3 linked regions of the Rhinolophus ferrumequinum genome follow. The protein of the gene in region 3 interacts with the protein of the main gene of each other region in a pairwise test. Links are inferred from orthologs where the notes say so. Each region holds a gene or a part of one and is shown on either strand. Other genes may lie near its edges.

The links. The genes of interacting proteins can lie anywhere in the genome.
Region 1: the proteins of EGFR (region 3) and SH2D3C interact in a protein complementation assay, tested with the Homo sapiens proteins (3 studies listed by BioGRID and IntAct, with this or other methods). The link is inferred for Rhinolophus ferrumequinum from reciprocal best matches to the Homo sapiens genes EGFR and SH2D3C.
Region 2: the proteins of EGFR (region 3) and SYN1 interact in a protein complementation assay, tested with the Homo sapiens proteins (2 studies listed by IntAct). The link is inferred for Rhinolophus ferrumequinum from reciprocal best matches to the Homo sapiens genes EGFR and SYN1.

The regions. Positions count from the first base shown.
Region 1 is NC_046295.1:76,826,814-76,834,095, forward strand, and holds the start of SH2D3C (SH2 domain-containing protein 3C), read right to left. Parts: upstream 3,008-7,282; 5' UTR 2,648-3,007; coding exon 2,601-2,647; exon of another isoform or gene 2,498-2,600; intron 1,833-2,497; exon of another isoform or gene 1,562-1,832; intron 1,276-1,561; exon of another isoform or gene 1,136-1,275; intron 1-1,135. Other genes in the region: CDK9 (cyclin-dependent kinase 9), read left to right, coding at 3,376-3,815, 4,270-4,351, 5,117-5,207, 5,555-5,721, 5,832-6,003, 6,162-6,310, 6,784-7,149. UniProt on the Homo sapiens protein: Acts as an adapter protein that mediates cell signaling pathways involved in cellular functions such as cell adhesion and migration, tissue organization, and the regulation of the immune response.
Region 2 is NC_046284.1:86,361,983-86,368,971, reverse strand, and holds the start of SYN1 (synapsin-1), read right to left. Parts: upstream 3,008-6,989; coding exon 2,631-3,007; intron 1-2,630. UniProt on the Homo sapiens protein: Neuronal phosphoprotein that coats synaptic vesicles, and binds to the cytoskeleton. Acts as a regulator of synaptic vesicles trafficking, involved in the control of neurotransmitter release at the pre-synaptic terminal.
Region 3 is NC_046303.1:4,395,619-4,403,513, reverse strand, and holds the start of EGFR (epidermal growth factor receptor), read right to left. Parts: upstream 3,001-7,895; 5' UTR 2,775-3,000; coding exon 2,687-2,774; intron 1-2,686. UniProt on the Homo sapiens protein: Receptor tyrosine kinase binding ligands of the EGF family and activating several signaling cascades to convert extracellular cues into appropriate cellular responses.

The sequences.
Region 1 (7,282 bases), on a different chromosome or scaffold from region 3:
TCATTTTCCCCATCAGTAAAATGGGACAAATACCACATCTTCACACGATCCTGTGGCAATGAAATAAAACATTTATATGAGAGTATCATCCCTATTACGTTCTCCTGTGTCTTTCTTTGCATCTTCCAAACAGACCTTGTGCTCTGAGAGGAAGCAGCCTTACGCATCCACGTTGGCCCCACGCCTGCTGTACTGTGGGACTCAGTTGATGCCTCTCCCCAGCTTGCCCACTTGTCTGGTATTGGGGGCAGTGTAGGATAGTGATAAATGACCCCAGCCTTTGAGAGCAGAGGGACCTGGCTTTGAATTCCAGCTCCATAGCTTCCTGGCTGTGTGGCCTTGGGCACACTCTGAGCCTCAGTTTCTTTTTCTGTAACTTGGGCCTGATACTAGCAACCTCCTAATAGGGGTGCTGTAAAGTTCTAGGGGGACAACATATCAATACAGGTCCTGGCAGAGTCAGTACCCGTCTAGTGGGGACAGAATGTCCATGGTGTTACAGGGCTCTAGGTATCACACAGCCATTCTCTGTACCCCCCATTCAGGGATCCCTTGTCTCCTCAGACTTACCAGCAGCCAAGAGCACCCACCCCATGGGCCCATCTTCCTCATCCCTCCATACCCTCTCCACCCTGTCCCTGCTTGGGGGAGAAAATAAGAGGGTCCAGGCCAGTGGCTCCTTTTCCCATCCTGTGCCTCAGTTTCCCTGACTGTTAAATGGCAGCAGGACCACAGGCTCTCTCACAGCCTTGTAGTCAGTCAGCAAACATTTATTGAGTACTGGCCACACGTCCGGCCTGGCTAGCTTAGCCAATCCAGGGAAGCAGGAAGCATTTCCCTCAAAAGAGCGAATCAGAAATCCAAGTCAGTGAGAAATTGTTTCTGGCTCGCGCTTCATTTCTTCTCCCTTCCACCTGGGCAGCCTGGGCAGCTTTCTGACCACTCCTGCCTGCCCTCTTTCCCCAGGGAAGGCTGGAGACACAAGGCGCAGAGGGGAAGTGAAGTGACTGGTGAAATGTTGGGGTACAGGTCAAAGACAGTAGGGTGGAGGTGATGACACCACCGGAACTTCTGCTGAGGCTTCTGCCCACAGGATGTGACTTAGGGAGTATTCATGGGAAGTGGGCAGGGGCCCCGGTCTGAGAGACTGATGGTGGCACCCACACAAACCCATGATAGACCCCAATGCTGATATCCCCTCCTCCAGCTCCCATCAGCATCCAGGGCACTCATCCAGTGGTGCTGTGCCATGCCTGTGCTCCACCCCCCGTCCAGGTAGGTGGGGTCCTGACATGGGTACGTGCTGGGGCTTTGTGCCAGACTGGCCTGGCTCAAAATGCCAGTGTGGCCATTGGCCAGCTGTTTTACCCTGGCCAGGTGATGTCACCTCTGAGTTTCAGTGTCCTTATGTGTATAATGGAGGTGATAATAGTACTCAACTTATATGGCTGAGTGAGACTTGAGATAATACCCATAAAGTGCTAAGTGTACGGCTTGGACCATTTATTTTCCTTCAATAAATTGTAATTATCACAATTATTTTCTCCCTCCTTGCCCTCAGCACTCCCACTTTAGCCAATGGCCTCCCTGCTTCTAAGTGTACCCATGAAGCTGATCCCAGATCACTCCCTGGTATGTCACTCGACTACCTAAAACCCTCCTCGCCGGCTCCACACTGCCCTCAGGAGAGGGAGGGCTCCCTGCTCCTCACCGGACCCACAAGGCCCTCCCTGGCAGAGCCCTTGTCCAGAACAGGGCCTCTTGGGACACCATAATCAGCAGACCCACTCCTGCCTCCTCCTACAAGGAGGCTACAAGGCTAAGCATGTGGAGTAAGAGCTGGAGAGTTTCATGCAGATAGAGAGGTTCTGGGGTGCAATCAGGAAGCACAGCCCTAAAGACAGGAAGGCCTGGGGAGTTAGGAAACACAGGAGATTCGTGTGGCCTAGGAGGCGAGCTGGAAAGAACCTCAAATGTCACAATTTTTTTTCTTTAAGGGAGTGGAGGGAAATACCTGCAGACTCTATTTCAGAATGCTCTGGTGGGTACTGTGAGGGAGACAGATGGAGAAGCCGGACTGGGGAGGCCAGGACTCAAGATCCATGGGCAATGGAATGGAGAGGGGCAGATCGAAGGGGTACAGAGGAGGTAAAAGACAGCTTTTCTGGGGGTTGGTTGTTGAGTGGAGCTGGAGGAAGAATCGGGAGGCCCCCTGGAGCCAGGAAGATATCAGAAAGATGCTGGAGAAGGGCTGAGGCAGGGGAAGGGGGAATACGGCCAGGGAGGGAGACACTGGGTGAATGGCAGGCTTGGTGCCTGGCGTAAGGACAGCAGGCCTCAAACAGCACCACTGCTGTAGTCCTGGCCAGGACAGCCTGAGTCAGGAGAATCCCCTTCAGGCAGACCAGGTTCGAGTCCCAGCTTTGTCATTGTGTGACCTTGGGCAAATGACCTCACTTCTCTGAGCCTCAATGTCCTTTTCTGTAAAATGGGTTAGTGATCCTTACTATGACGCTGTTGATTCAGGATTCAGAGGAAACGCCCAGTACTTCCTGAGTACACAGAGGTACTGAGTAAATGCTATTTTTGTGATTACTGACCCAAGGCTCGCGCAGCTCGGCTGGGGCGGGGGTCCTCTAGGTTTCATCCCTGCCTCCCAGAGAACAGGGTCCAGCGCTAGAAGGCCCGGGCATTGCTTATTCGCCGCCTCCAGTGTTGCCGCGCCCCCTGGTGGCCGTCGGTTACCATGTCAACGGCGGGTGGCTGGGGCCCCGGGAGGCGGTGGCGGGGGCCGTTCTCTCCTCCCGGACCTTAGGCCGCTCCCTCGCTGCCTCCCGCCAGTGAGGGGGGGGGAATAGGCGCTCCCCGCGGCAGCTGGCATGTGGCGGTAAACTGAGGCACACGGCGAGGCGCCCCTCAGCCAGGTGTCGAGTGCGGGGCCCCACCTCCGAAGGCGTAGGAGGGGCCGCGGGCTGTGACGCGCCGAGGGCGGCCGGCGGACAGCCGGCGGGAGGCGGCGGCAGCGGCGGCGGCAGGTGCGGCCGCGGAGGACGGGAGGGCGGAGGGAGGGGGCGGGCGGAGGGGGAGGGGAGGGCGAGGCCCGGGCACCTCCCCCTTTATAACGCGCCCCCTCCCGGGCTCTCGGGCCGCCTCCTCGTCGGCTCTTCCCGTCTCGCCCCCTCGCCCGGCCGCCCCGGGCCCGGGCCCGGCCAGGGAGCCCCCCAGGCCGCGGCTTGGGGGCCGTCCCCCCGCCCGCCACCCCGCGCAGCCCGGCGGAGGCGGCGCCGTCGGAGGAGGAGGAGCAGGGCACTGCGGCTGGCCCGGGATCGGGCGCCAGAGCGGCAGCGGCTTCGGCAGCAGCGGCGGCCCGGGCCAATGCAGCGGGACGCACCGCCCCGAGCCCCAGCCCCGGCGCCCCGGCTCCCCGCGCCCCCAATCGGGGCCGCCGCCAGCAGTGGCGGCGGCGGAGGTGGGGGCAGCGGTGGCGGCGGAGGCGCCTCTGCAGCTCCGGTTCCTCCTGGCCTCCCGGGAACTACAAGTCCCAGGGGGCCTGGCGGCGGGCGGCGGGCGGAAGAGGCGGGGTCGGCGCCTCGAGGCCGGAAGTGGCCGTGGAGGCGGAAGTGGCGCGGCCGCGGAGGGGCCTGGAGCACGGCGGCGGGACCCGGAGCGGGAGCAGCGGCGGCGGCGGCGGCTGGGGGTGGCGGCGGCGCGCTAGAGGCGGCCATGGCAAAGCAGTACGACTCGGTGGAGTGCCCCTTTTGTGATGAGGTGACCAAATATGAGAAGCTCGCTAAGATCGGCCAAGGCACCTTTGGGTAAGGATGGGCCCCGAGGGACCCGGTGCCCTGGGCCTGCACCCCTCAGGGCCGACGTCGGGACGCCCGGGGCTGGGCCAGAGGTGGTCGGGGAGCCACTTGGCCCTAGAGTTATTCCCTGGTCTCGCTAGGCCGCACTGCAGTCCGCCGGGGCCTGATGGAGCTGGCTGGCGGGGAGGAGCCTGAGGCCCATGGTGGGGAACGGGCAGGAATTGCAGAGGAGCTTGTGAGGGGAGCAGGATCTCTCCGAGAGACGTCAGGCTGAGGAGAAGAGACTGGGGAGGAAGTAGAGGTTGGGAGAGGGACCGCAGATAGTAGGGTAGCCCACTGCCCTAGGTACCAGGCTCAGCCCTACACGGGAGTCTCTTTTCTGCCCTCCTCCTCTGGAGGGGGAGGGGCGAGCCATGTGAAAACGGCCTGATGAATCTTTTTGGGTCCCCCTTTCGGCCTGCAGGGAGGTGTTTAAGGCAAAGCACCGCTTGACCGGCCAAAAAGTGGCTCTGAAGAAGGTACTGATGGAGAACGAGAAGGAGGGGGTGAGTATGGGTCGGGTGGGCTAGCTGGCCAGCCATCTCCCCGGGGCATGTGGGTTTCCATCCTGCTGCTTCTAGGACTCACGTGTTGAAATTTAGTTTATGTGTAGTAGCTCGAGAATTTCCATAGCCCAGGAAATTTGACTTCCAAATTAAATCTTTCAGTTCAAATATTTTAAAGCATTTGGTATTTCATTCTTAGGCAAATACAAGGTTGGGGCCAGGAGGGGGAGCTCATGCTTGCACTGAATGCACTTGGGCTTGTGAAGTTGGAAAGCCTTTGTTAAAACACTTCCCTTAGAATTTAATTTTGTTCAGTGCAAAAGGAAAATACATGCAATGGCTTTAAAAGGGTGACTAGTACTCAACTGAAAAGGAGTCCCTCTCCCACCACATCTTAGCTCTAGTCCAGCTTTCAGAGATGTGCTTGTTAGCAAGGAACTTGAATGGTCATTTGTGTTACTACCCAGCAAGTTAAACACAGGCACAGAGCTAAAATTTAAAGGTTGAAGAAATTAGGGAGCGTTTAGTGACCAATAATGAAGTGGTTAAGTATCACTATTTCAATTCATTGTCTGAAAGCATCTTCTTGAGGAGTGCATACTACTTTACACCCATTTTACAGATAAGGCATCTGAGATAGCTGATTTCAGAGCCTGTGATCTTACTGTGTCTTCCCAACCTGTTCCCGTTAGTATAGACCCCATGGCCAGTTCCTTGATCTGCAGTGCGCTTTCACTTTTGACCTCCTTTCTTTATTCCACCCAGTTCCCCATTACCGCCCTGCGGGAAATCAAGATCCTGCAGCTTCTAAAACATGAGAATGTGGTCAACTTGATTGAGATCTGTCGAACCAAAGGTAAGTTGTTTGAATCTTGTTCCCATTTTCAAATGGAGAAAATGAGGCTTAGAACTTAAGGCTTTGTTTGCAAAGTTGGAACTGGACACACTTTTAACCCAGGCATACCTACCAACTGTGACTGCTTTCTCTGGTCCTTTCATCGTAGCTGGTGCTTTCCCAGGGTCCGCCACAGCACCTGGCCCAGAGGACTCACTCGGGAAATACTTTACCAGTGAAGGAACCCACAGATGGATTCTGGGTGTCAGTGGGTTGGAGGGGGGTAGGAGCTGGTTGTGGGAAAATGAGTGGTATATGGGATTTTTTATTTTCTTCTTCTTGCTCCTTCCCCATTCTTCCCACCTCAGCTTCCCCCTATAACCGCTGCAAAGGCAGTATATACCTGGTGTTTGACTTCTGCGAGCATGACCTTGCTGGGCTGCTGAGCAACGTCTTAGTCAAGTTCACACTGTCTGAGATCAAGAGGGTCATGCAGATGTTGCTCAATGGCCTCTACTACATCCACAGGAACAAGGTGGGGGAGGAGAGACCGAGGCTTGGTCTGCCTGTACTCCCACCGCTGGGTGGCGGGGCTAAAGGACCCTTGGGAACCTGACTGAGCCCTCACCTTTGCCCTTCTTGCAGATCCTGCACAGGGACATGAAGGCAGCTAACGTGCTCATCACCCGAGACGGGGTCCTGAAACTGGCAGACTTTGGACTGGCCCGGGCCTTCAGTCTCGCCAAGAACAGTCAGCCTAACCGCTATACTAACCGTGTGGTGACGCTCTGGTACCGGCCCCCAGAGCTGTTGCTCGGTGAGGACTCCCGAGTGGGCAGAAGGGGGCAGGGGCTAGGCACTTAACCTGGCCTCAGCCCCCCACTGCCAGGGCTTCTTGAGCCGCCGGCCCCCGGGCATTGCGTCTCAGGAGGCCCTCGGGCTCAAGGGGCACTCCTGGTGCACTCTTCTTCCCAGGGGAGCGGGACTACGGCCCCCCCATTGACCTGTGGGGTGCTGGGTGCATCATGGCGGAGATGTGGACCCGCAGCCCTATCATGCAGGGCAACACGGAGCAGCATCAGCTCGCCCTCATCAGCCAGCTCTGTGGCTCCATCACCCCTGAGGTGGGTGGCCAGGCTGCCTGGGCCTCTGGGCCCTGCAGGATGCAGAAGTCTCCCTGGCAGGGGAGGAGTGGGCAGTGGAACAGACAGAAAGCTCTGGAGAGGCGGCTGGTGGAGGGACAGGGCCTGCTCTTTAAGCCACACAGGCTCTCGGCTCCATCACTACTTAGTTCTGTGGCCTTGGGCAAGGCGTTTGAAATTTTCATCTCAGAGTTGAGTTTCTCTTCTGTGAAACAACTGTGCCTGTGTCAGTCTTGGCACACACATTCCAGGCATTTTATGTAAAAGGGCCCAGCACTTGGGATGTGCCAAATACGTGGTCACTGGTGCTTTCACCTCGGAGGGGTCGAGTTCGCCTTCTAGACGTGGTCTGAGAGCATCTGAATGGAAACATTTTAGTCCCTTCAGGTGCGTGACCAATGGACAAGCCACACACCCCCTGAATTAACTTCATCCTCTTTCCATGCCCCCTTAAGGTGTGGCCAAATGTGGACAAGTACGAGCTGTTTGAGAAACTGGACCTGGTAAAGGGCCAGAAGCGGAAGGTGAAGGACAGGCTGAAGGCCTACGTGCGTGACCCCTACGCCCTGGACCTCATCGACAAGCTGCTGGTGCTGGATCCCGCACAGCGCATTGACAGCGACGACGCCCTCAACCACGACTTCTTCTGGTCTGACCCCATGCCCTCGGACCTCAAGGGCATGCTGTCCACCCACCTGACATCCATGTTCGAATACCTGGCGCCGCCACGCCGGAAGGGCAGCCAGATCACCCAGCAGTCCACCAACCAGAGCCGAAACCCCACCACGACCAACCAGACGGAGTTCGAGCGCGTCTTCTGAAGGCCGGCTGCTGTCGCTTTTCATTGGGGCTCTTGTTTTATTTTCTCTTCTGCTGTGTGACTCACATTGTGGAGCTGATGGGGCATTTGAGTTATTTCTCTGGTGCGTATTTTATTTAATCCCCACCCTGGGC
Region 2 (6,989 bases), on a different chromosome or scaffold from region 3:
AGAGTGGAGAAGGGGTCTGAAGGATGACGGTTACCAATATTTAGAGGGAACTCATAAAGGTTTGTTGACTTCAGTGAAGCAAATTTAGCCAGGAAGATGGCGTCTGTGCGAGTGGGTGTTGGTGAAGGAATTATAGCATGTGTTCATTAAATGCTTTGTGGAATGATGGAGAAAAGACTGGAGGATCTGATGCAGGGATGGAAATGTGGTTGTTTGAACAGAACACACTAAGAGATTAATAAATGCTCCTTGGGTTAATTGGGGGAAAGGAGCGGTTGGGAAGATAGCCATCTGAGTGGGGGAGGGGACCTGGCCAGCATACAGTAGGTGCACATTAAGAGCTTTTAGGATTGTGTAGTGTGGAAGGCAGGGTGAAGGTTGTTGAAGGGGGAATCAGGGCTACAAGAGGGGGAGGAGAAGAGGCTTTGAATATGGGGTTCTTAGTAGTATACAATAAGTGTTCATTAAACACTTGTGGCATTAAGTGGAGGAAAAGGTATAGAGAATCCAGCTGGTGATTAGGATTAAAAGGAAGAAAAACTGAAGGAGGGGTCTTCCTAGTATATAGGACTGCTTAACAAATGCCTCCCACACTCTCACACATGAAAAGTATCTGTAAAATAAATAATTGGCTCTGAAAAGAGAGAAAGGACGCTGGTAAGGGCTCCTGGGGGGGAGGGGTTATCTAACCAGTAAAAGCTGATACTCAATAAATTTAGGCTGAAGTAGACCCTTGGGTGGGGGGAGATCTTGAGATAGGGGCAGAACTTCCAGACTCGGAATGGCTCTTATATAGTTAGTAGGTGCTCAAAAAGTGTTTAGCGGCTTAAATAGAAGAAAGGCTCTTTGAAGTATGGACTTAAGATTGGGAGAGGGAATCCTAAGGACACTGAAGGGAGTGGGAAAGGGGTAACCTTTATAATTTGGGCTCTGGACTTATCAAAGTAAAGGAGCCTGGGGAGAGGCTTTATGATTGACAGGGGAGAGGCAGGTTCTCCTAGGGGTGATGAAGTGGGGTATACTCCCTACACACAATAGGTACTGGATCCACTGGAAGAAAAGGACTTTGGGGAGGAAGAGTGAACACAGAGCACACATAAGGCACTCCATAAATGCTGACAGAACCCATTGGAGGGAAGGGCCTTTGGGGAAAGGAGATTAGAATTGAGCACCTGGCAGATAAGGCATAAATGCGCAGTGAATCCATTAAGAGAAAAGGTCTTTGGGGGGGGCGGGGCTAGGGATGGGCATACAATCACTGGACCCATTGGAGGAAGAGTCTTTTGGGGAACGGGAGTGGGGATGCAGAAACTTGATCTATGTAAGCTTGATTCCCTCATCTATGGGAGGAAAGGCTTTTGTGGAGAAGGCACAGAATCAGGTGCTCCACAAATGCTCCAAGGAGTTATTAAAAAGAAAAGGTCTTTGGAAAGAGGGATTGAAATAGTACACACAGCAAGTGCTAGATATCTGATTACTGTATTTATTGGAGGCAAATGCCTTTATGGAGAGGGTCTAAGTTTGGATCATGCAGAAGGTGCCCAATACATGCAAACTGAAGCCACTGGAGGAAAAGGCATTGAGGAAAGGGTTTGGGGATGGGGTAAATAGAAGGCACTCAATTAATGCTTGCTGACTACACTGGAGAAAAGAGTCTTTAGAGAAGGCTCACACAGTAGGCGGTTGATAAGTGCTAGGTGGGTCCATCAAAGGAAAGGTCTTTGAAGAAGTAGCTTGAAAATGGGGGATAAAGGAGGCACTCAATAAATGCCTTCTAGAGCCATTGTAGGAAAAGGATTTTGGGGAGAGAGTCTGAGGATGAGTCACACACAGAAGGCTAAAAAAATGCTCATTTGAGGAAAATGATATGTTTGAGAAAGGGGTTTGGGGACGGGGCATACATCAAACACTTAATAAACGCTTTCTAGATTCTTTGGAGAAATAGGCCCTTGGAGAGGGGGTCCGGAGTTGGGGCACACAGAAGGCATTCAATAAAGGCTCACAGGATCCATTAAAGGCAACACTTTTGGTGAGAAGCTGAGGTGGGATACACAGCAGGCACTCGAAGTTCACTGACTAGTTTTAAAGGTCCTTGAGGAGAGGGCTGGGGTCGGGCACGCAGCTCACTCTGGATACATGCTCACAAGATCTATTAGAGAGAAGGCCTTAGGGCAAGGGTTGCAGGGGACAAGACACATGTCAAACTCTTAACGCATGATCACAAAATTCATGAAGCCAAAGGCCCTGGAGAAAGGCTCCTGTTGAGGCACACTGCAGGTACTTGATACATGCTCACGAGATCCATTAGAGGATAAATAAGGCCTTTGGTGCGAGGGTTGGGGGGGCAGGGAACATTCTGCTCTCAAATGTTCACATGACACATTAAAGCCAACGCTTTTGGGAAGGAGGTACACAGCAGGTGCCCCATAACCTCTCCCTGTATGGATCGAGTGGACCTGGGGTGGGGTAAGGGCGGGGTACAAAGGAAGCGGCCAGCATAATAATTTAAAGGAAAAGGTTTTGGGCGAGGGGGCTCAGGTGCTAAGCACACAAGTGGTGCTCGATAATTGCTCGTCACGGAACCATCTGGGGACCCAGGCCCATGGAGAGACATCGGGGCAGTGGCTTACCAGTCGGTGTGGGGCTCGTCGATGACCAGCAGCACCCTAGCGGCGGCGCCCCCACGGCCTGCGCCCCCAGAGCCGCCGCCCACCTGCTCGCTAAAGGTGGCGGCCGCGGCCGCAGTGGTCTGCTTGACAGCGTTGGACAGCGACGAGAAGAAGCCACCACCCCCGGAGGACCCTGGGCTAGGGGCGGCCGGAGAGGCCACAGGGGCGGCTGCGGAGGCCCTTTCGGCACTGGCGGTCGTGGGACCGGGCGTGGCTCCGGGGCTGGGGGCAGCAGGTGGTGGCGGGGTCGGCTGCGGGCGTTGCAGGTCTGTCATGTACCCATTTGGCAGATTGGCCATGAAGTTGCTGTCCGACAGGCGGCGCCGCAGGTAGTTCATGGCTGCGGCGCGGGGCAGGGGGTCCTAGGAGCAGTCTGGTCAGGAGCCGCGGGGGCGGACCGCGCCGAGCCCAGGAGCACAGCTGCTCTCAGGCACGACGCGACTCTTTCGCTGCCCGCTGCAGACTGAGGCAGCGCTTAGTCGCGGCCGCCGCAGCGCGGATGGTCGCGCCCGTGCGCCCCTATCTCGTGCCCCGCGTGGTGCAGTCCGGCAGGGCCGCCGGCGGCGTGGACGCGACCAAGGCGACCGGGAAGGGGAGTTTGTGGAGGAATGGCGAGTGACGTCAGCGCGCCTTCAGTGCTGGGGCGGCGGTGGCGCGCGCCGGCTGGCGGGGGCGAAGGCGCTGTCCGCGGTGCTGAAGGTGGCAGTGCGCACGCGCCACGCCGCATCTTGTTCCCCTCCCCCCCTCCGATTGGGGATGCGCAATTTGGGGAGTGGGGGCGGGGGTAGGTGCTTGTCCGAAGGTTTGGGGTGGGTGGTCAGTCAAGCCCCCCACCCCACTTCATCCTGGTCTTCATACTCAGTCGCATCCACACGCAGGACCCTCCGCAGATACTTGGTTTCCAGTGTTGATATTCATCACAGAAGGCATGTATGGGGGGGTGGGAATGGAGGCATACACAGAGACACAAAAGTACAGAAATAACTCCCTCATGGCGAGGGGTAGGGGTCACACGCAATACCCGCAGCGTGATCAGTTTCCCACTTCTACACAGGCTCAGCTAGGCAGAGAGGCATGCGGGGGTGGCGTAGACAGCAACAGACAGGCGGAGTTGGACACTTGGGCGGGGTACACACCCTTGCCCTGGGGGGCTGGAGACGCACGGGAATGACACACACAAAAGTAAGGAAACACACGAGGCATGTACAGACAGAGAAGACACACCAATCTAGGAATCTATACACACCCAAGCCCAGGGTAACACACATGGACATGCATGCATACATGCACGTGTATACGCCTACACGCACACGGGCACCACACTAACACACTGAACCAGGGAAACTCACACGAGTATGCACACCCAGCTAAAAGGCATACCCACAGACGATAATGAACATAGATCAGCCACACCGGCACATTCCCTGAAGCTCTAGCCCTGACGTGTGTCCATCTATCCCCCTCTACATACATACTCGGTCTGTACGCCCCCATTCGTCTGCCAAAAATCAGAAAACCACCTGGTATTATCAGTGCCCATGGCTGTCTCCCCCTGCACCAGAGAACTTTCTACAGGCAGAGGCAGACCCATCCTATGGTATGCACACAGTTGGTGCCAAATAATGTTTGCCACATAAGCAAATGACTTTTATAGTCCAGGTAGAGGTGGGCCGTGAAAATCATTCTGTCTGCTCCTATGAGATCCTGACTACAATGAAAGCACAAATTCATTTTAAAATAATTATCTGTTGATTGATTGTACCCAATGCTTAACTGAGCTGTTTTGAGAAATGTATTGTCTCATCCAATCCTCACAACAATAATATGGGGTGGGTAATATCATTTCCATTTTATAGATGAAGGAACCCGAGAATTCCAATTCATTCCCAAAGGGTCACGTTCAATTTGTGATCCACACATTGTTTTTTCCTTTTAAGAATGTGCCAGACGAGGTGCCAGTGTGGCTGAAGCAAATTGAAAGAAGGGGATTTGGCAGGAGATGGGGTCAGAGAGGCTAGCAGGGACAGGATTGAGAAGGGCCTTGTGGGCATAGTGAGCGATGCTGGGAGACCAACTGAGGGGGAAGAAGATATGGCAAGAAGTAGGCAGATTGGGAGTTTCTTCTGCCCGCAGGCTTTTCAGGTGAATCGTCCACTTATTCACGTGTCCACTCTTAATTTATTAAATCAATGGCCTGTTTAAACGAGGTAGTAATATTGTGGGGTCTGGAGTCAGAGTGCCTGCCTTCAAACTAAAAATGATCACCTGACTCACCTCTAGGGCGGTGTGTGTTGGGGTGGGCAGGAGGTAGGGGGAGACCACCTCTATCCTTGCACGTGCTGTGACTTCTGCCAGGCATGTCCTGTTCCCCTCTCTCAGAGATCATCTTTGACCAAGGTCTCTGGGAAGTCCCCTCCCCCAGGACTCAGATTCCATCCCCTCTTCCCTGAGGCTCCCAGGCAAGTCAGAAACTTCCAAACCATCTTCTACTTCCTCCTCCATCCCAGACAGCTTCAGTCGAACCTCCAGGCCTTTGCTTTGGCCATTCCTTTCCCCTCTCTCCCAACACCCTCTCTGGCATTCCATATCCCAGCATTCCCCACATGGGAAACTCCCCACGAATTGGGCATTTCCCAACATTCCAATATGTGCTGTCCAGTTTGTTTGCTCAGTAACTGAAACAAACAAGCTGTGTTGGACCCATGGTGCCTTTTCTGGGGGCCAGGAACTACTGCAGGTCTAGACTTTTCTGGCTCCTCAGGAATCTGTTGCTAGACTGCCTCTTCCTAGGGGCCCCATTTCTAGGTTCCTAGTACTGGTGGACCTCAGCGTCATTCTCTTTCACCAGGTGGCTCAATTTCCAGGGATTAATTTTTTGTAGACTGTTTTGAAGAAGAATGAGGATTCCCCCCCAGAAGTGTCTCAACTCCTTGAGGCAGAGGTAAGGCTCCTCTACACCGTTTCCATGTTCTCCAGCAGGAATGTGTGTACAGAAGAGGCTCCAAGAATGGTTTTCTTTGCTGTGAACGACTGTGAATCCCACACGTCATGTTTGTAATCAGTATTGTACCTATGTTTATAACACACACACACACTTATCCATGTTGCCCAGATGTGCACCCCCCCCCATAACGCACACATTGTTATGGTGCACACATGGTTGTAACTTCACACTGCACACACTCAATACATCCTTAATTCTTGCACAGATCCATAGGTCTGCATATCACACATGCACAAGGATATGTGCTACATAATGCACACGCACGAACTTCCACTGTCTTGTAAACGCTCTCTTGTACTCTGTAGTAGCAACCAGAACCCCTCACTTTGGCTTCTTCCTCCCAAGATGACCAAATATTCATCAACCCCGTCTTCATCTCAACCCATCAACTGGCCCATTTTACACAAGGGGAAATCAACCCAGGGAAGTGAGCACGCTGACAGACTCCGGGTGCCACAAATCTCCCATCTGAACTCTCCCACAGTGATGCCCCTCCACGCACAGCACGAAGTCCTAAACTCTGCTCCTGACATGGTGCTTCAGAAATGGCCAGCCTATTACCTTTCGTGGTTTTGTTTCCTCCTTGGTAAATGGGGACGTTACTGATCCTTACATGTTCATGGTGGATTAAACAAATTCATGCTATGGAGGCTTAAAACACTACCAGGCACAAAGTAAGCACTAAGTATTAGCTATTACCATAATTATGATGATTCTAATACTTTGTCCCATTACAAGGGACCCAGCATTCGTAAGTGCTAAATGAATGATCAAATGCTAAGAGCATTAGTGTCTCGGTTTGTTCTCTGCACTGTGGAGACACAAACCACTCTGACTCTTCTTCCCTACCCCTCATGATGTCCAAGACTATTGTTAGTATATAGTAGGCGTTGATAAGTGTTGCATATTTAAAGAAAAGGATCACCTACTCTGAGTCTATTCCCTCGCTCAGATGTCCTCACCTTCTACCAGCCCTCCTCCACCCCAGATGCCCAGACTTAGCTCTGGTATACAGTAGACACTAATAAGTGTTGAATGAATGAAACAATGCTAACAGGAATCTGTGTCTGGGTGTGTCTGGGCTCCTCCCGGCAGATGCTGACTCTAGCTTCTCACAGGCACTTCCTTGCCACCGCCCCCACTCCGGCCGGTGGAGCTATTTGTCCCAGCTAACTGCAGCGTTGGAGCTGGGCTGTTGGGAGTGGGTGGGTGCAGGTGCTGGCGGAGCAGCCAGGCGCCCACCCCAATCACCTCAGGACTGACGTGGAATCCGGAATCCGCCAGCAGAGAGGCTCTGGCAGGTGGGAACCTAGGGA
Region 3 (7,895 bases):
GGAGCACCATGGATTTTGGCACTAGGCTTCTTCAAACTTCAGAATAAGCTTTGAAGCATCCTGGACTATGAAACGAAATATACGGAGCCAGAAACGACCATCCAAAGTCAAGAATGTGTTCAGAGGTGGGGCAGGGAGGCTCGCTGGGTTGGGAACTCCTTGGAACACACACCAGATCTCTTTTAGAACAACATTTTCTGTACCTTTCCATTTTGCAAGAACAAGGGGCTTGTTCAACATTCCTTGAGCGATCTCCACGTTCATTGCTGGTTTGGTGACTGAGTTGCCACCAGGAAAGGCAGCCGGAGCAACTACTGAGTAACTGTGGGCAGGGGTCTAGACTGCTGACCAGGCGGCGGCTTGTTCCAAGTTCACAGAAGGGACCATCCTAAGAAGCCCAGCCCCTGGTCCATTCCCTCCCCCTCCCAGCAGCTGACATTAGATGCTCACACACACCTGAACGGGCGCTCCTGAAACCAGAACTCACACACAGCAGTGGAGATGGCTGGCCGCAGAGGGTTCTGGGCAAAATGGCCTACGTTTAAATCCTGGTCCTGCCTCTCACAAGCTATGCCAAAGTCACTTTACTTCTCTGTACCTCAGTTTCCCCTCATATGCATGATGGAAGAGTCACAAGGATTGATAGGACAGTCAAACTCGTGTCTGACTGTACTAAGTACAAGAGGAAGAGACGATACCATACCTCAGAGCCAAACAAATCTCTCTAAAATGAGCACATTTTCTTGAATAAAACTAACTGAATTTGACTGATACGGGTCTTTAACACTTTTGGTAAAACATATCTCATTTTTGATAACTTACCCCTTAAATTTTGGTCTTTAATGTTACTTTCACTGAATGACATTTGTTCGCCTACTCTCACCATTTTCTTTTTCAGGAGCATTCCGCTTTAAGCAAGTACAGGACCAACAGGCAAGTTAAGCGGTATTTCGATTTTTCTCAGAAACAGATCTCCACACACTAATCCTGGGGTTCAAAGGGGTAACAGCGACGCACTGGGGACATTTCTGGAGAAAAGTGATGCTTGAGGTGCTCCAAGACTTTAATGTAAAGGACAGGCGACCCCTGCAGAGAAAATAAAGAGCGACCTGCCTGAGAGGCGGCCCTGGTCAGCTGATTTCAGGAGCAGGACCAAAGGGACCGTTTCACAGCAGGGAAGAGGGGGCGTCAGACTCCGGAGGAAAAGCTTTCGGTGAAAAAACTAATCCACTATTATTGAAATCACCTCCGTCTCCTCTCACAGTATTTTGCAACTGCTGGTAAAACTCCCGATGTCCAGAAAGAGCATCTGACGTTGGAGTCTTTGCGAATCGCCCTACTCATTGCCTGTCATCCCTCACATCCCGCGGCCCAACAAAATCACCTGAGGAGCCTGTACAAACCCGGAAGGCCAGGTCTCACTCCTGACCGAGGAAATCCGAATGTCTGGGGGGTGGGAGCCAGACATCGTTGTTTATTTTGGGTTCGGTTTGGTTTTAAATCCCAAGCGATTCTAATTTGCACCCAAGTTTGGGAAGCGCGGTTTTCGGCCCTGACGCTCCCCCAGCGAACGCCCTCAGGACCAAACCCCACTCCCTGCGCCAATGACATCAACTGCAAGTACAGACCTGACTCTTGGAACCCGGCTGCAGGATTTTGAAATTGTGCAGTTAAACCTTCTGAGACATGTTTCTTGTGTCAAGTGGGTTTATGGTCGGTAGTCACGAAGCCAGACTCGCTCATGTTCGCTCTGGACACTTGGCACCAAATCCGGTTTTCATTTTTTTTTAAAATTAAGTTTAATATTTTGATTGGCCCCATGTCAAATTTTTAAAAAAGCTAAAAGAAATGTCCCAAAGAGAAAATCTCGGGATTTTCAAAATAGGAGCCCTACTTTGAAAAATTGTGGGGTCCTGATCCTTAGGCAGGTGAGCACCAGGACCCAGCTGTCCGGTTGCAGCCGGTCGCACCGCTCTGCCCCGCTCCACCCCGAAGCCCACAGACGTGACCAAAGTGCTGCAGGTGGGGGGCAAACCTCGGGAGTTCCCGGGAGGGACAAGGGCCGCGGACGATCCGGAGGGAGCTCGGGGGTGCGGGGGTGGGGGCGCGCCCCAGGAGCCGAAGAGGACACTAAGTCCCTTGCCGGGAGCCACAGGTAGTTAGCGACAGAGGCGAGCTCTCCGGGCCTCCCACTTCGAGGCTGCAGCTCCACGCCCGGGAAAGGAGCGAGCCGGCTTCAGTGGAAGACGCGGGTGTAGGGAGCCCCGGGAGGTCCCCCGAGGGATTCCCGCATCCTGGGCGTCCGGAAGCCCTTGGGGGGCGCGCCCCGCGAGCCTGGCCCCTTGAGTGGACAGCGCGGGCGCACGTGCCCGGACGCCGGCCGGCACCGCGGGGACCCGAGCGGCCCCCGGCTCCGCACCAACTTTCGCTCTAGGACGCCAAGCCCGCGCAGGAGGGCAGGAAAGTGACGCGGAAAAGTTGCGAGCGCTCGGGGAGCGCCCCACACCCGCCCGCAGCCCGCGCCCGCAGCTTCCCCGCCTCGGGCCGCCGCAGACTCGCCCAGTTCAGAAACGAAACGTCCCGTTCCTCCCACGGTCCCGGCCAGCAGCGCAGCCGCTCCTCAAGGAAGCAGGAAAGGAGGGCCGGCTGCGGGCCGGGTGGCGCGGGGCCGCGGACACGCCCGTACCTCTCTTTTCCTCCAGCGCCGGGCTCCCTGGGAAGTGCGCAGCCAGCAGCAGCAGGAGCACGGCTCCCACAGTCCCCGAGGGTCGCATCGCTGCCCCCAGGCGCTCGCTCCCGCTCTCCGCAATTAGTCCGAGACGGAGCCGGGCGGCTGTGCGTGGTGGCGGCGACTCCGGAGGTGGCCTGTCGTCCGGGCTGGGAGGCGGCGGCCGCCGGGGCAGGCTCGCTGGGGACTCGCTGGGGACTCGGGCAGCCGGGGCCGCGGGCGTGCACACCGTGCGGGGGGCGGAGGCTGCTGCCGCGGCGCAGCGCTCGGAGCTGCCCAGACGTCTAGCTCGCGGGGCGGGGGCGCGGGGCGCCTGGGCTGGAAGGAGGAGGGACCAAGAGCAGGGGGAGGGATCGCGAGGAGCCGAACGCCAGGAGGAGGGAGGAATAACCAGCAGCGGGGACCGCAGGCAGGCAGCCGCGCGGAAGGGGCAGACCACGGTGGCCCCCGCGGGCCCCAGCGCTCGGGCGACGGCGCGGAGCGGGGAGGGGGCGGCGTGCGGGAGCCGGCGGCCGCTCCTGGGAATTCGTGTTCCGAGAGGCGAGTTCCCAGCGCTGTGCGTCAGGACCCAGCCCTCGCGGACTGGCGCTGCTATCTCGGTGACCCAGCCTGCGTCCAGACATTGCCCCCACCCCTTCAACTTGCAGAGCAAACTTGTACCAGCTCCGGTGACCTGGCTGAGACTTATGCCCAAGGCTGGATAATGGCACGGGTGAGGAAACCACCCCTTTATTCTCGCCCAACTCCCCCGAAGCACCCGGGGACCCTACTGGAGGCCGAGGCTGGCTTGGCAGCCAGGTGGTTGGTTCCTCGCTGCGCCCGCGGGCCAGCGGCTGAGTCGGGGCTCTCAAGTCGGAGGGTCCTTCACAGCCCGTCAAGCATCCTCAGAATCGTCTGAAATGAGGGCACCCAACTCCTGGCACAGAGCCGGACGTTGGGAAATGTTAGTTGAATGAATGCACGAGTACCGAGGGAGCCCACAGCTTTCCTAGGCCCGGAGCCAGCCAGGGGTACTTGACAAGCAAATATTCACGGTAAATTACTTTGCAAAAGCCCGGCGCTTGGATAAAGGCTTGATACAAACACTAGAGGAGATGCTTTTATGGAAAATCGAGGTGCCCAGTGCCCTCAGACAGCCACGCGTGACTCAAGCAGGAGAAACACCAGGGAAATTGGCTAAGGATTTGGCCAGAAGAAATTAGGCTTTCTTAGCTGCAGAAACTTAGGTAAATTCATTCAGCAAATTCGCTCCTTCACTACAGGACAAACGTCCTGGGGGGGGGGGCATTCTACAGCCAGACCCCCTCTATTCCTCATAAGTCCCACTGCTGACATCAGGCCCGGTGGGCTCTGGTGTCCCCCCTATTTAAGCAGGAGTCACAAAACTGAAGTTAGTGGAATTACAGCCTGACCTTTGGTGTCACCAGAGAAGGAGGGTCATCTCCCCGTCCAGCAAATGCAGGGCACAGGGTGCCTCACTGTCGGCACAGCCTGTAGTGTTTACTCTGAATTTAGAGTCATTTGTGTTTGTTCCTTTGTTTGCGCACATCAAGATGGCCCTGAGCCCTCCGAACCCCTTCCGCCCCGATGAAGAGGGCTCTGAAGATTCTGCAGGTGGTGTGCTGGGTTCCCTCCACATGTTCCAAACAGGGTTACATGTTACCTGTAATATTTAACAAGGCAGTCTGTGAAGAAACACAGCTACAGAGGTAACACACCTCAGAGAAGGGTAAATCAGAAACACAACAGTGGGACATGGCACAAAGCTGGGGGTGAGTCTTACAACGGATTCCATGCATTTACTCAACAAGGCCGCAAATTTGGCTCCAGAGCCTTCTGTCAAGGAAATCCCATGGCTGGCACAAAACATATTGTCCATTTGCTACAACGCCAATCAGTTGAAGCTGCAGCTAATTTTGAAGACTGCGCAGGAATTTCACCCGTGAGTCCACGAGGAGAAGAAAATGTGTGAAGCCCCGCGAGTTCTCAGTAACCACCCTTTTCTAACAGCAACAACCTGTGCAGTGCTGTATTGTTATCACATCCTTCCATAAAGCAATCACTAGAGGAGGAGGCAGAGCTTCTGGCGCACAGACCCACCCTGGCTGGATCCATCCTCTGGGGACACCTTTGTAAGTTTGGATTCCTCCTTGGAGTTGGCGACTTAAGAGGTGACATTCAGGGTGACGTGGTACTCTTTGGCAGGTCGCGGGGTGCACAGGTAACTGTGGTGCTTGTTAGGTACAAAACTGTGTGACTGAGCTGGTGGAAATGACGTCTTGAGAGCATGGAGCTTTGCCCAGACTGGGCCCTGCATAGCTGCGGCTCGCGAACACAGTCTCTCTGCAGAGAGTGATCCCAGGTCACGTCCCAGGCCCAGGCCACCACCACGGGAACAGCGGGAGCAGCCTGACCACATGCCACTAAGTATTGATCACCTATGAGCCAGGGTACACTTTTGTCTGCCTTGTATAGCAAGAGGAAGCCGTGGGTTGGAAAGGTCACCCATGTAACCTGCCCAGTGTCCCAGGGCATGCTTCCTAGTCACGAGACCAGCCTTGAACCCAAATCCCAGCCATGTTCTTCATCCCTCATCACTGAAACTTTTCCAAAATTGAGACAAACAGACTTCAGGATCCCAAATTCAATTTCAGAATATCTGGAAACTCTCTAGAGAGGGTACAACCCAAATCTCACCTTGGCCCGGAGAAAGCATCCATGGCACCAGATTAACCAGGACATACCGAGGCTCTGGTATTTCCCATAGAAAATCTCACGTGGCCCATCAATTTTCCTAACACGCGCTGTTCTTTCTCTTCTCCACCTTCCAAACTGGAGACCTTTTTTCCTCCTCTGATGAGCAGTTTTCCTCTTAGAAGAGGTTTCTGAGCATTTTAAGTAGGCGTTTAAACCTTTCTAGAAGGAGCATGGGAGTAGTCCCCCAAAGGGGACGAAAACAGGGCTTTGTGGCGGGGTGAAGACAGCAGGCCTTCACATATTTAAAGTTCCATCTTGGGCGAGAGGCATTTGACCACCTGTTTTCTCTGGCCTTTGAGGTCAAAGCAAGAATTGATGAGGAAACACATCAAAGTGGCAGATTTCAGAATTTTAAAAATGACCTTTCATACATTGGTAGAGCTGTTTGAAAGTGGAGTGAGCTGCCTCCGAGTGGAATGCGATTCTCCATCCTTAGAAAGACATGTATGCAGGAGAAGTACTCAGGAAGGTTATGCTGAAGGACTGAACCAGGTCCCTTCTAATCCTAGAATTCTGTAGGAACATGCATCTCTAAAACAGCCTTCCATTCCAATGTATTCACACTCCAGAGCTCTTCTAAAGATATTTTAAGAAGACACAAAAATGTGGTAACAGTTTTGCCCTTCGGAGGAAACCTAGGTAGCTGGGGGTTGGTATGGAAGGAGATTTACATTTCAATGGTCTGTCCTGTTGTACCTCTATGGGCAGGCATCACCTATTTCTGTAAGTGAAGGACCAGTGACCTTGGTACGTCCCCTGGCAGAGGGTCCTGGGCAGTTCTGATGTTGGCTTGGTTTCCTCAGCCCTTTTTCTCTCCCTTTGAGTCAAGTTATTTGCATTTGACTCTGAGTTGACACCTATCTCTGCCAGAGTATGGAAGAAGCAGCTTCTTTTTCGGGGATAATACGCTGACCCCAAATGGCTGAGGCCTTCCTTGATCGTTAGTATTCTTAGTAGTATAACATGTCTTTGATGCATTGTCTCTGGGGCTGACGGTTCTGAGATGCCTAAAAGGCAGGGCTGCATTTTGGGATGCTGGTTGCGGGCGCTGTGCTGTGGGAATCACTTTGCACGGGGGTCTTGGAGGCACTTTGGGGACTCCGCATAACGCTTTGCCCCTGCCGAAGGCGGAACACTGAGATTGCATAACTTTGTCCGGGGAGTCACTACTCGTCTCAGGGGTGGTTCTAACTGGAAACATGAGCCTCAAGTTCAGGACCAAGTTCAGGATACAGACATGGTTCTGTGGGCCCATTCAAAATTTCTTCTAATTGAATTAGTGGCCATATTTACAAATCAAGAGATTTCCTATTTATAATGTGGACTCTTGTGTTTCTCTTCAAAAATGGGAAGTGCTGGCCAGCTGGGTCTGCTTTCATGCAAGATGGCAGTTGGGTGGGTGATAACTGTCTCCTTCAGAAAGAACGTTAAGGCTCCGGCTCACCACAAACGTGACTCTCCAGTTCATGGGAACTGCGTGGCTGCTGTAGACATTAAGTTTGCAGCCTCACCCTTCTGGGTTCACGGACTAGTGAATATTCATAGTGAATATTAATGTTCATAATGAATATTAACTTATGCCTCCACACACGTATTGTTCTCATCATTCTCATATACCTGGAGAATGTCAGCCACAATAATGATACGCTAGAATCACGACTTGTGATAAACATTTGTGATTTTACATTCTTCCACATTGAAATACGCTCCTTCAAAGCGAGGCCTACCATGGTGTAGATGTGTTATACATGACCTCTGGACCAAAACCTATCAGCAAATACACATGCACACATGTGGTTCCCATCTCTACTTTTCCTCTCGCCTTTATCTTCCTTCCTCTATCAGACTCATTCTTGCTCATCCCCTGAGGGTCCAATTGAATGGAAAATCAGAAATTATTAAAGTTGTGAAGTTTGTGGAACTGAGCTGCAAGAAACCTGAGTTGTTGTGACTTAGATGAGGGAGGGGCCTCAGAGACAGGGCCCTGACAGTTGTACAGGTATTAGGTTAAATACCTGGTTCAAATGAATTGCTTCAAGAAGGGAGACAGGAATAATAAATAATACTTTGTTTATAAAATAAAATGCATAGGAGTCCTGAGGGTTGTTAGCAATTTTATTAAAATTCTGAGTAGGAATAAACGGCATTTACTCAACATTCAGTCACTGAGTCTAAAGTAGCTGGGAGACAGAGGTCAGTTACCAGTCCTGCCCCCCTAGGACTTGTCAGCCTGCAAAAGGTCACCCAGACCAAGCAGGTGTGGGGTGTGTGTGTGTCAGAGTAGGAGCCTTTCCAGTCTTCCTAGCATCAACCTCATTGATTGCTAAACACCACCATAAATCAGGATGTTTTGCTATTGTACTACAAAAATGCATGTGACACATAACTAGAATTCTCAGTGCTTGCGTTT